Drosophila melanogaster: one gene and its partner. The protein of the gene in region 1 purifies or fractionates together with the protein of each later gene. This does not show direct contact. Each region holds a gene or a part of one and is shown in the gene's direction. Other genes may lie near its edges. The genes, in order: alphaTub85E and ringer.

What was found.
Region 2: the proteins of alphaTub85E (region 1) and ringer purify together in Drosophila melanogaster (affinity purification with western blotting, with the first as the bait; one study listed by BioGRID). This does not show direct contact.

The regions. Positions count from the first base shown.
Region 1 is NT_033777.3:9,730,504-9,734,942, reverse strand, and holds alphaTub85E (alpha-Tubulin at 85E), read left to right. Parts: upstream 1-1,692; 5' UTR 1,693-1,794; coding exon 1,795-1,797; intron 1,798-2,139; coding exon 2,140-2,664; intron 2,665-2,792; coding exon 2,793-3,614; 3' UTR 3,615-3,722; downstream 3,723-4,439. UniProt on the Drosophila melanogaster protein: Tubulin is the major constituent of microtubules, a cylinder consisting of laterally associated linear protofilaments composed of alpha- and beta-tubulin heterodimers.
Region 2 is NT_037436.4:16,353,983-16,361,436, reverse strand, and holds ringer (ringmaker), read left to right. Parts: upstream 1-2,008; 5' UTR 2,009-2,138; intron 2,139-4,988; exon of another isoform or gene 4,989-5,132; intron 5,133-5,245; exon of another isoform or gene 5,246-5,346; intron 5,347-5,400; 5' UTR 5,401-5,407; coding exon 5,408-5,803; intron 5,804-6,069; coding exon 6,070-6,252; 3' UTR 6,253-6,691; downstream 6,692-7,454. Other genes in the region: Pdh (photoreceptor dehydrogenase), read left to right, coding at 7,156-7,299, 7,356-7,454.

The DNA.
Region 1 (4,439 bases):
TATTCGACACGCCCCTGTGATTAGGATTTACAATTTTCTGTATTCTGCATTTCGAACTCAATAGAATAAACTTTTTATACCACTTTATTATCGAAAATACAACAATATTCTGGAGAGATCAATTATTTTCGGCCAAATATGAAGTGTTAGTTTTAAACGTTGTTAATTATAAGTTACACGACATCAATATCCAATGAAATAACTAATAGGTTTTAAATTGTGCAAGCAGAACAGTGGTTTACTTGTGGCCAATGCAAATACTTTAACTGAAGTTTTTAAAAATCCTAGACTACTGGCATCGGATCAGACGAATTTATAGACTGGAGTTATTGTTATTGTATTATTTATGATTGATTGTATTTATTTGTGAGGCAATTATGTAAAAATTCGTTTTTTTTCACTTTCGCACTATTCATTATTTCGGAATATGTAGAAGGATAATTCAAAATGTTTGCGGCCATGGTTTTCGTTGTTATAAGTAAAAAGAAATGTTTGGTAATACTTGTGTTTGCGTACCCAATACCCAACTTTAAACTAACTTTAAACTAAAGCCCAGCCAATTTGTTATATGTTTTTCGTTAAAGAGAAATAAAAAACCCAAATGCACCAGAGAATAGGTTTAGTCAAATAAAATTTGACGAAACGATTGCTTCCTTCTATTGAAGCCAATGCAGCTTTTTTGATACATTCCGTGATGATAAATAATTTTGGAATAACTTGCTCAAATATATATGTACTAACTCAGTGTAAAGTTGGAGGAAATAATGCCCATTTTTTTCTTACAACGCTGGCCGGCATTTATTTTGAAATACTTAATTTTGTACTGGTCGAACTTACATAAAACTTATATTTAAAAATACCATATATATTAGGAATTTAGCGTAAAATTACTGTGAGCAGTATTATAATATCTAAGTTATAAATAAAAAATAAATTAAAAGTAAAAATGGCTGTTTAATTCGAAACATGCGCTACGCTTTCATTTCGCTATGAAGATTATTCATCTTAAATTTTTAAGTGAATGTTTTGTTTATTTCTTCTTATCACACAGCTACATACTCATTGCAATCTGACACATAAACAACAAATAAGACCTTTGGCTTTTAGATTTTATTTAATGTTTGGAACAATTATTTGAAAAGTATCTTGTTTTGTAATTTTTTCTTTGTTTTTCTGGGTGTGTCCGATTGAAATCGTAAGTGGCGTTCATATTCCTAATACGTCAGCGAATAATTGGCCAAGTTTCCACCAAAAGAAATGCCAGGTTTGGCCCCACCTCGACAATTTCATCTGTTTATGCTGATTTCCTAGTGCAATTTTAAAAATAAATATGGGGTATATTTGGATTTTCATATGCTTATATTTTTCAACAGAAATAAGACTTGCTTTCCAAGTGGAGACTAGTACCCAGTAAGTAAATAATCTAAAATGTTGTCAACAACCTACAGCTGCGAATGTGAATGGATCAATGTGAGAATTCAATCCATCCATAAACACACGAGGAGGAAAACAAAATTCGATCAAGAGGCGACTTCTTGGTCATGTGTGTCTGGATGGGTTGGGTGCCTATCGTCACTTAAGTCGATGAACGCGTCCACATTTCACATAACTTCCACATATAGCATGTAGCATATAGCATATGCTACATATGTCTGTCTTGGGGGCTTATAAAAGAACGCGTATCGTCAAGATTCGGTTAGTTGACTCCCAGCTGTGTGTCGCATCACAGACCAGTGCTAGGATTTTCGTGATTGAATCTGCTTTTTTAAACTTCAGCTTAAACTTTTGATCATCATGGTAAGGATAATAGGCACTTTCAATGATTTAGCTGGACTTTTGAAATTTCGTCGGCTGCACAGAACTATGGATCCTTAAAAGTCCTTATATGCGATTTCATGCAAAACTAGACCATATGGTGCAATATTTATTCATTTTTGCAAGTGATTAATTAATGGTTTTAAAAAATATAACTGCTTGTAAACTATTATCTTAAATGAATACCCAAGAACTTACAGCGATCAAAATTGTTTGTAGCATATGGTCCAAATCACAGATTTGCAACCGGAAGTCCAAAGTTAAATTTTAGAATTACCCAAATTTACAGCGACATGAGTCACATTATTATAAACTCTGTTCCAGAGGGAATGCATTTCGGTTCACATTGGCCAAGCTGGTGTCCAGATCGGCAATGCCTGCTGGGAACTTTACTGCCTGGAGCACGGCATCCAGCCCGATGGCCATATGCCCTCCGATAAAACCGTGGGCGGAGGCGATGACTCCTTCAGCACCTTCTTCAGCGAGACTGGAGCTGGTAAGCATGTGCCGCGTGCCGTGTTCGTGGATCTGGAGCCCACTGTGGTGGATGAGGTGCGGACAGGAACCTACCGCCAGCTGTTCCATCCGGAGCAACTGATCACCGGTAAGGAGGATGCGGCCAACAACTATGCCCGCGGCCACTATACCATCGGTAAGGAGATCGTCGACGTGGTCCTGGACAGGATTCGCAAGTTGGCGGATCAGTGCACGGGTCTGCAGGGATTCCTGGTCTTCCACTCCTTCGGCGGCGGCACTGGCTCTGGATTTACGTCGCTGCTGATGGAGCGCCTGTCCGTGGACTATGGAAAGAAGTCAAAGCTGGAGTTCTCCATTTACCCAGCACCACAAGTATGTCATTTGCATATGGATATTATATCTATTGCTTGAGCATTTATAGAAGACCAATTAACATAATTAGTAAAAGACATGGGAAATTAGTCTTCGAAAGGCAATCTAATAATCGAACTTCCTGTTAGGTGTCCACAGCTGTGGTCGAGCCATACAACTCGATCTTAACCACCCACACAACGCTGGAGCACTCGGACTGTGCGTTTATGGTTGACAACGAGGCAATCTACGACATCTGCCGGCGCAACTTGGATATCGAGCGACCCACCTACATGAATCTCAATCGCCTAATTGGCCAGATCGTTTCCTCCATTACGGCCTCGTTGCGCTTCGATGGCGCCCTGAATGTGGATCTGACCGAGTTCCAGACCAATTTGGTGCCCTACCCACGCATTCATTTCCCACTGGCGACATACGCTCCCGTCATTTCCGTGGAGAAGGCCTACCATGAGCAACTGACCGTGGCCGAGATCACCAATGCCTGCTTCGAGCCGGCCAACCAGATGGTCAAGTGTGATCCGCGTCGTGGCAAGTACATGGCCTGCTGCATGCTCTACCGCGGTGATGTGGTGCCCAAGGATGTGAACGCAGCCATTGCCACCATCAAGACCAAGCGCTCTATCCAGTTCGTCGACTGGTGTCCCACGGGCTTCAAGGTGGGCATCAACTATCAGCCACCCACCGTTGTTCCTGGCGGAGATCTGGCCAAGGTGCAGCGCGCCGTCTGCATGCTGTCCAATACCACTGCCATTGCCGAGGCCTGGGCCCGTCTGGATCACAAGTTCGATCTGATGTACGCCAAGAGGGCCTTCGTCCACTGGTACGTGGGTGAGGGCATGGAGGAGGGCGAGTTCGCCGAGGCTCGCGAGGATCTCGCTGCCCTCGAGAAGGACTACGAGGAGGTAGGCATCGACTCCACCACCGAACTGGGGGAAGATGAGGAATACTAGAGAAAACGTTGTCAACAAATGATACAGCCATTACAACTTTATAAACATCACTTTCTTTCTACCAAATACCAATGCATAAAACAGTTTCGCAATAAAACAGTTTAACACAATTGCTTAAAATGGCTTATTTAAATGGGAAATATTCGTCTTTAGATGGAATTTAACTTTTGTGTTAATAAGAATAAAACTTTCTCATATAAGGAAATTGGTAAATCATATATTTATTGGAAATTACCCCTCCGTAAAAAACCCTACTTATCACTTTCTTATTGCTTTAAATATTAATATTAATTGGGCAAATTAATGTTGACTTTTAAAAGTTTTTAATTTTTGAAATCGTTACGTGTAATGGAGCCTTAGGATGCATTTTGAAACGCATGCGCAAAAATGTGTACACATATTTCTAGCAAATTCAGTAGTCGTAGACGTACCTTTTCAGGAGTAGCAGCGAAAAATATTCTTAAGATAGTTTTTAAGTTTAAATTAATTTTACATATATGTGAAAAGTTGTATTAAAAAATTCGCCCGTTATTAAATATAATATTGTTCTTTGGAAACCTCTGTGAATGTTATTTAATTGTAAATGTACATGCAAAATTGTATCCTCTTTTGTCTGCAAAATTGTATGTGCATGTATGTATTCGCAAAATTTAAGTCTAGTCTGTTAAGTTAATTAAGATATTGTTGAGTAGTCTAGGCAGACAACTTTATCTTAAAAGTCCCAGTTTAAACAGTTCTTATACAGAAATTGTATGATATGTATACATATGAAATATGAATATTTTATTTACCCATATATACCCCTTGGAATAATCAATGCCCCCA
Region 2 (7,454 bases), on another chromosome or scaffold:
TAAGAAATATATGTTTTATGCGAAGAGCTTACAAATATGACACAGAAAAGGGTTAATTAAATCGTTAAGTCCGCTAAATAAATAATATAATGTGAATTTTTAGACACCTTATAGTATACACTGAAGATATATACTTATTTCAACCGGACACTAAGAAAACCCCCTAAGAATATGTTTCCCATCCGCCTCTGATGCACTGCAGCTGCATTGGTATCTCCTGTTCCTCCTTCGCTGGTCATTTTTATTTTTAGCAGCGGGCTTATCGGATGCCTCAGATCTCTGGTGCTTAAACTTCGCTCCCGATTAGGAGGAGGAGGAGGAGCAACTGCAAGAACCACATTGGATTGGCCTTGACGGCTCGGCTGATAAGTGCGTTTTAATGTTAGCCCCGTTGGCACTCAGTTTCAATCAAAGCCCAATTCTCTACAACCATTCCAGCCTGGCTTAATGAGCTGGTTAGTTCTGGCCTGGAATTGAAGTTGGATTGGCAATATAGTCCGGTCCACTTGGTTCACTCCCTTTGTTCTGTCTCGAGTGGACTGTGCCCTGATTTGTGTACCACCATTGGTTCTTTGAACTGCCTTCGTGGCTAATTAAAGGTGCACTTAAGATAGGCCAGGTGGCAAGAATCATGTTTTTCATTTTTCAGGACTGGGAGTACTTTGATTTTATGTCCTAGAAAAAAAGAGCAAACGAATCAGTCTAAAAGGTATTTCAGCTGTAAAACATTCCATAAATATAGGAAATTTAACTCTTTCTAATTTTAATTAAAGAATATTCTAAACGTCATCTGGTCAATAAACTAAATGAATATTGTAGAATGAAATATTTAAATTACATATCAAACATTGTATATTAAATAATAATAATCAATGGACCTCTGTTTGTAATACCTAATGCTTAATTTACGAAATTAATTAGAAGTCTCCTCAGGGTATTTCGTTTTCCAAGTTAGTCTTTCAGTTGCTTTGTATTTTGGTTTTGGGCCAGGGCTATGACTTCATCGAGTTGGCCACAAAAACTTACCAAATTCTTCCGACCGTCAGTTCTCATAAATCAATGTCAAAGGTTTTTTTTTCGTTCGTTTAGGGTTTGTTTTGGGTTTAGGACGGGCTTGTTGTTTCAGTATGTGTTTAATCATTTTATGGAGTGCGAAGTAATTTCCTTATGATTTCCTATTTGACTTTTACTTTTTCCTGAATGTCCAAAATAGAAAAGTTCAAAGAACCCATTTACCTAGTAAGGCGGTCGACAAATCTTAACCGCTTGAAATAAGTACTCATTTGCATAGCTAAGCATGAGCTCACTGGTTAGTATAGCCCAAGTCACACCCCAAAAACACGTCTAAGTAAGCCCAAAAGATACACCCTTCATTATTCGAATTGTCTGGCACTTGTTGTGTGTGTTTTTTGCCCAACAATTTCACGCATCGTTTTTTGTTTTTTTGCGCTTAAACAAATTTACTGACTACAAACTCACTGTTTTAGTAGCTCAGACTGTGTGGCGAACCCCTCCCCTTCTCTTTAGACAATATAAAATCAGGAAAAGCTTTAAGCTTTATTCCCTAGAATTTCACTCACAACAAACCAAAATTTTGAGTGTAACTTGTTGGTTTGATAAGATTCTGGTGTGTAGCGTCACTTTTGTTATTCTGAGTTGTTTTTAGGTCTCGTTTGTTTCTTTTTCTTTCTGATAAATGGCTTCGTCGTGTGGCTTTCGTTGTTAGTTTTCGTGTATAAAATTTTGCGAAATGAAGTCATCGCTTGAAAAAAAATTGGGGGGTCAGTAAAAGTGTCTATAAGATCCAAATCGTTTTCCTTATCTCATTCAGAAAGTTTTGGAATTTATGTTAGCTCACCAACGATTTGCCATCTTTTCTTTGGATAAAATGCTAAGGAGGATTTTCCTTTTTGAGTTTCTATTTCACTCAGCGAAAGCTCACTCAAAACAAAAATATCACTCATACGCCGCTTGGGCCTTCGCTAGCCACTGGCTGCGCATTTGTCCAAACAGTTGAGTTTCGACATCGCCAGCATTCGCGCGTTTGCCTTAAAGTGATTGGAAAATAGCCGAGGAATAAAACAAATATTTTTTTGGAAATATATTCAAGAATTTTTGGAACTTTTTTAATAACAAATGTAAGTTGGAAACGTTTCGAGAAAAATAATCTAGTTCGTTGGATTTATTTTTTTTTTTAAAATGTTACTGTATCCTGCATCTATAAGCAGACTCCGAGCCAAGGATATTTTTTTTATTCATTTTATGAGTAGCAGGTTCATATTTTCAAGAGCAGATTTTGACCCACTTACCGCGCATCGCGTTCCCCTTTTCTTTTGTTCCTGGGGAGCACCATTGTTTTCGATTTCCTTTGGGAGGTCCTGATTTAGGCGCATTTTCCCCGCTTCCGTGTGTATATATGCGTGCATTTGAATCATCAGTCTGAAATTCCAGTACCGAGACCCCCCAGGAAACCCCTTCTCCAAACTGGCGCTTGCGCGTTTCCCAGCTCCCAGTGATGTCATCTGGGCTAGTGGTGATGTAGCTACACATTTCATACACATATTATGTCCCGAGCATAAGTCCCCCTCCTAAGTCAATGATTTCTCTATTGCGTTGCGTGCTCTATCAGAATGCCCATGACTTCCTGTTTTGTTCCCCCCAAAATAAAAGTTCTCTTTAATTTATGCATTCAGTCCGAGGTGCTAATATTTCTGTGTGTTTATTAACACACGTAAACTCATATGTGGTGCAGTATTTCATGTTTCTCCCCCCAAAGTCGTTTGTTTTATAAATATACATCGAGATGACCCAAATTTCGCTTCCTCCATTCGCTTTCCAGCGGTCCACTTGAGGTAGGTTGGGTTTATAATTGCGTTCCCCTCTCCAGGAAGTCCATTCTTTTCGAAAATGGCTATCTATAATATTCATTCATATTCCTATTCAAATTGTGGTCATATGTCATATATATTGCCCAATTAACTTTTACCATTTTGGTAGAAAACTAATTAAAATGTTGGCAACGAATTCGCAATGCTCGACTGGAGCTGGATGAGAACTTGTTCTCCAAATCGAAAATACAGAGAAAGAATCCAAAACAGAGATGGGAAATGAGAAGAATCGAATTATTTATGGTCTGACAAGCAAGCGGATTATTTCTGATTTAGACTATCCACGCTCCCCATCAGACTGCCTGATTTTCTGCCATTCATTTCACGAGGGGTATCTGCACTTTGAGTTGCCAAAGAATATTAAGAAAATAATTTATTTTGTGTGAATATAGTATCCAAGTCTGATCAGGGTATCATAGGATGAGTCTTTCCATTGTCGATTGCGATGATTTAATACTTCCGCTTTTTAAATTGATTACGATCATCTTAAACTGTTAGTATTTCCCTCGAATAATTATAATATTTAGATTTTTGTAAAACCTTTCAGAAAATTATTAGCAATCGGGCTTCTATTAAAAATCAAACTAATAACGTCAATCTTAGTGTAGAAAATTGGATCTAACAATCCGAACTATTTGCATTGGCTGATGGTAGTTAAAAAAGATTGATTTTACTAATATTACAAAATGAATTCTATTGTGAAAAAAAGCATTTTGAAAGCCACCATAGATAACCTAAAGATATTTCTTATTAGTTTTGATTTTACAGGTAATTTCCTAGTCGATAGCCTCTTGTTTTTTGCCATCTTAAAACTCTTCTTGCATATTCCAACTTCTTTTGTGGTGTAGTTTGTCAACTTTTCTTGTTTCCGAGTATTTATGGCTTCCAATTACATGTAGGGGCGGAGTAAAGGGTTCCATTAGTCTTGTCCGGGAACTGGGACCGGATAATTTGTATCGTCTTGAGCGGAGTTCAAGTTCAATGGCCCTGGTCTTGAGACCAATAAGATGATTAATGACCGGCAGACTTGCTATGCATGCAATGTTCCCAATTAACCACTCAGTTTACATAGATCATTTCGATGGATTATCTGGGGAATATGGGCTATTAAATTGCCTCACCCCAGAGCTATTCAAAGCTGATCCCAGAACAGCGTAATCAAGAGCCGGCGTAATGAGGCGATGACATAAGCACTCATTTTTCGATTTGGATTGCGAATGGGGCTAGGGGGTGGTAAAATAGTATTTGACATGCTCGACGGGCTGCATCAAGGTCATGGTGATTCTACCCCGCCCGTCCACTTCGATTTCGATTCGCATCTGTGCGGGCACAAGCCGTGGCATCATATCTCACGGATAGAGGACTCCAAACTGGTTGCAGTCGCATCTTATCGCCGCATTAAATGCTTGCCCAAACGGCTTCCATCTCTCCTGGGGCTCCAACTTGCAACCTTAAGTGGTGCGTAATTAATGGCTCCGCCAATAAATGCTCACGTTTTATTTACTGTTTATGGAATGATGGGGATGGGTCTGAGGATTCGACTTCGTGTTGGGTAGCCTGTAAACAAGAGGACAATTTATGCTACAAGCAATTTTAAAACTAAATTATCATCCAAATTTATGCCACGTTCGGTGGGTAACAAATTAAGCGAGGAATTTCTGGCGATGCGTAAAATATTTATTGCTCTTTTTGTTATTTTAATAAGCGTAAAAGTGATTCATTTTAATAATTTTAGGGTATATCTATAACTGTATAGCTGTACCGTAAATACCTAATATCGCCTTAGGATTATTAAAACCCATGATAACTGCATGCTAGAGACTAATCATAAAAGATCTAGCAAGCTAGCGCTAAGTTCTGACCCCCATAGAGTAACCCATGTGAGCCAAACCTGTTGACTATTTGTTTTGTGTATTTGGGTTTGCCAAAAGGCGATAATTAGCTGCGTTGGGAGATGGGGGACCCAAACCGATGACGCCATCTAATGATTGAGTCTCTCCCAATTTGCCTTTAGATTTCCATCTCTCGAAATCTAGCTGAGAGAGCTTTGGCCTAGCTTTGGGTGGGTATAGCTTTGCCTTTGTCCAGTTCAGCATGGGTTGTGATATCATTGCGAAAGCGAAGTGAGTAAAGTACTGATAAGGTGTTCGCAAAGATACGTCTGGGAATAGCACCTACATATGTAGATAGTTGACAGTGACGGACAAGACCCACCGCAATGTTGGTGAGCGTTGTGGCCCACAGGTGAGGAACTGCGTAGGTGACAACCGTAGTCAACCGATTACGCAGGAGCGGAAAAGTTGCGTGTTGGAAGAAACCACTACAAAATGTTAAACAAAACAATGACCTATCAGGCTAGGCATATTATTAATAATAAATGATCCTCAGTCCATCTGTAAAATTGAAGGTTCTTTGTCCGTAGTTGTTTATTTATTACTGGGCATCTATTAAAACACCTGTAGGGTTCAGTAAAGGTTAAAAAAATATATATAATATTAAATATATTTTTCAGATCCACCATGTCCGAGGTAGCTGCAGCAAATGGAAGCCCCTCCCCAGCGCCAACTCCTGAGGTGCCCGCTACCGAGTTGGCCCAATTGGCGCTGGAGGATGAGCCCAAGGTTAGCTTTTCGGATCAGTTCAAGGCCTTCTCCAAGTTCGGGGACTCCAAGTCCGATGGCAAGCTGATAACGCTGTCGCAGAGTGACAAGTGGATGAAACAGGCCAAAGTTATCGACAAGAAGATCACCACCACGGATACAGGCATCCACTTCAAGAAGTTCAAGGCCATGAAGATCTCGCTCAGCGACTACAACAAATTCCTGGACGATCTGGCCAAGACGAAAAAGGTGGAGCTGTCGGAGATCAAGCAAAAGTTGGCCAGTTGTGGAGCTCCAGGAGTTGTGTCCGTTTCGGTGGGTTTGATAAATTGGTTGTGAAAAATATGATCTATATAAGTCAAATGATTAAGATTGATTTTAAAGTGTAAAGAACTTCGAGAAGACCATTTAGATATGACAAAATTTAAATGATTTTTTTTTGACTCATTTAAACTATCAATTGTTAAAGTAGTTTTCTTACAGAAGTTCTTAAAAAATATCTTTTTAAACCTTTGAAAGTCATAACCATATACTTTATGCCTTTATTGAAAACCTAATCAACATTTTGTTACCATTTTTAGGCTGGAAAAGCCGCAGCTGCCGTGGATCGATTGACGGATACGAGCAAGTACACCGGTTCCCACAAGGAGCGTTTCGATGCCTCCGGAAAGGGCAAGGGTATCGCGGGCAGACGGAACGTGGTCGATGGATCCGGATATGTGAGTGGCTACCAGCACAAGGACACCTACGACAATGCCCACTAGATGGGGTAACCACCGTTTTTCACCCTCTCATAAATCTGTATTTCTAACTTTTGTGTTTCCCTAGTTAATGTCTCCCAATCTAATTTATCTTTGTGTATATAATAAGTTTGTGATAATTTAAGTGCTTACAAATAAACTTATATTTTTGATTATAATTTTTGAGTTCCTTTACTTTGTTTATCCTTCTTTGTCCTTTGATACGTAAAATTTTGAAGCGGCCCAAAAAGAGTTCAAAAGTAAATCCAAATCAAATTTATATACATTTCATGGCAATCAAACCCATGTTTGGTAGTCTTAAGATAACAGATAAACTTTTAATATTACAATTTGTGAAAGAAATTTAAATATCACATATGGAAACCAAAGATATACGACATACATATGTAGATATATGTTATGTTTTCACAAGAATTTTGCTTGAATAAATACACTTTAAAATATTTGCATTGCTAAAATTTGTATTGGGAGGAAATACAATTTAAAAAACCAAAATTTTAAAGCAATTAAGATGGTTTTGTAAATCGAAATATACATTTAATTGTAAGATCTTTGAAAAATGCCCAACATGTGTACCTTCTTAAAAGCAAAGATTTCACTGGAAGATAGTTATTAAGAGATCATTGCTTTATCTACACAATGACATTATCACTGATGCAAAGCTGACATCGAAAAACCGGAGCGGTGTGAAGCAGACTGAACGCTACAGCGACCAGATGGGGATGGAAATTGATATATGGGCATAAGTTGCATAATCCTAACCCAGAGCAGGTGGAAAACTAGCTATTGATTGCAGTCGAACCAAAGTCACTCAACGATATATCATATAGCCCTTGGGAAATAGGTATAAAAGCGGCGAACATTACAGCTCCAAGTCAGCAGTGCAACTGAGGAGCTCAGTGCTTGATGAAGCCACAAGGAATACCACCGACTACTACACGAATCAGCCAGACCAAGATGTCCTTTCGCGGCAAGAATGCAGTGGTGACCGGTGGAGCTGGAGGCATTGGACTGCAGGTGTCCAAGCAGCTCCTGGCCGCTGGAGCAGCGGTTGGTTGTTTTACACATAATTACGTGAAGTAATTTCTAAAGCGAGTGCTTCCTAGAAGGTGGCCATCATTGATTTGCAGGATAATCTGGAGGAGTTTGTAAAACTTAGGGCCGCTCATCCCACCCAAAGCGTAATGATCATCAAGATGGATGTG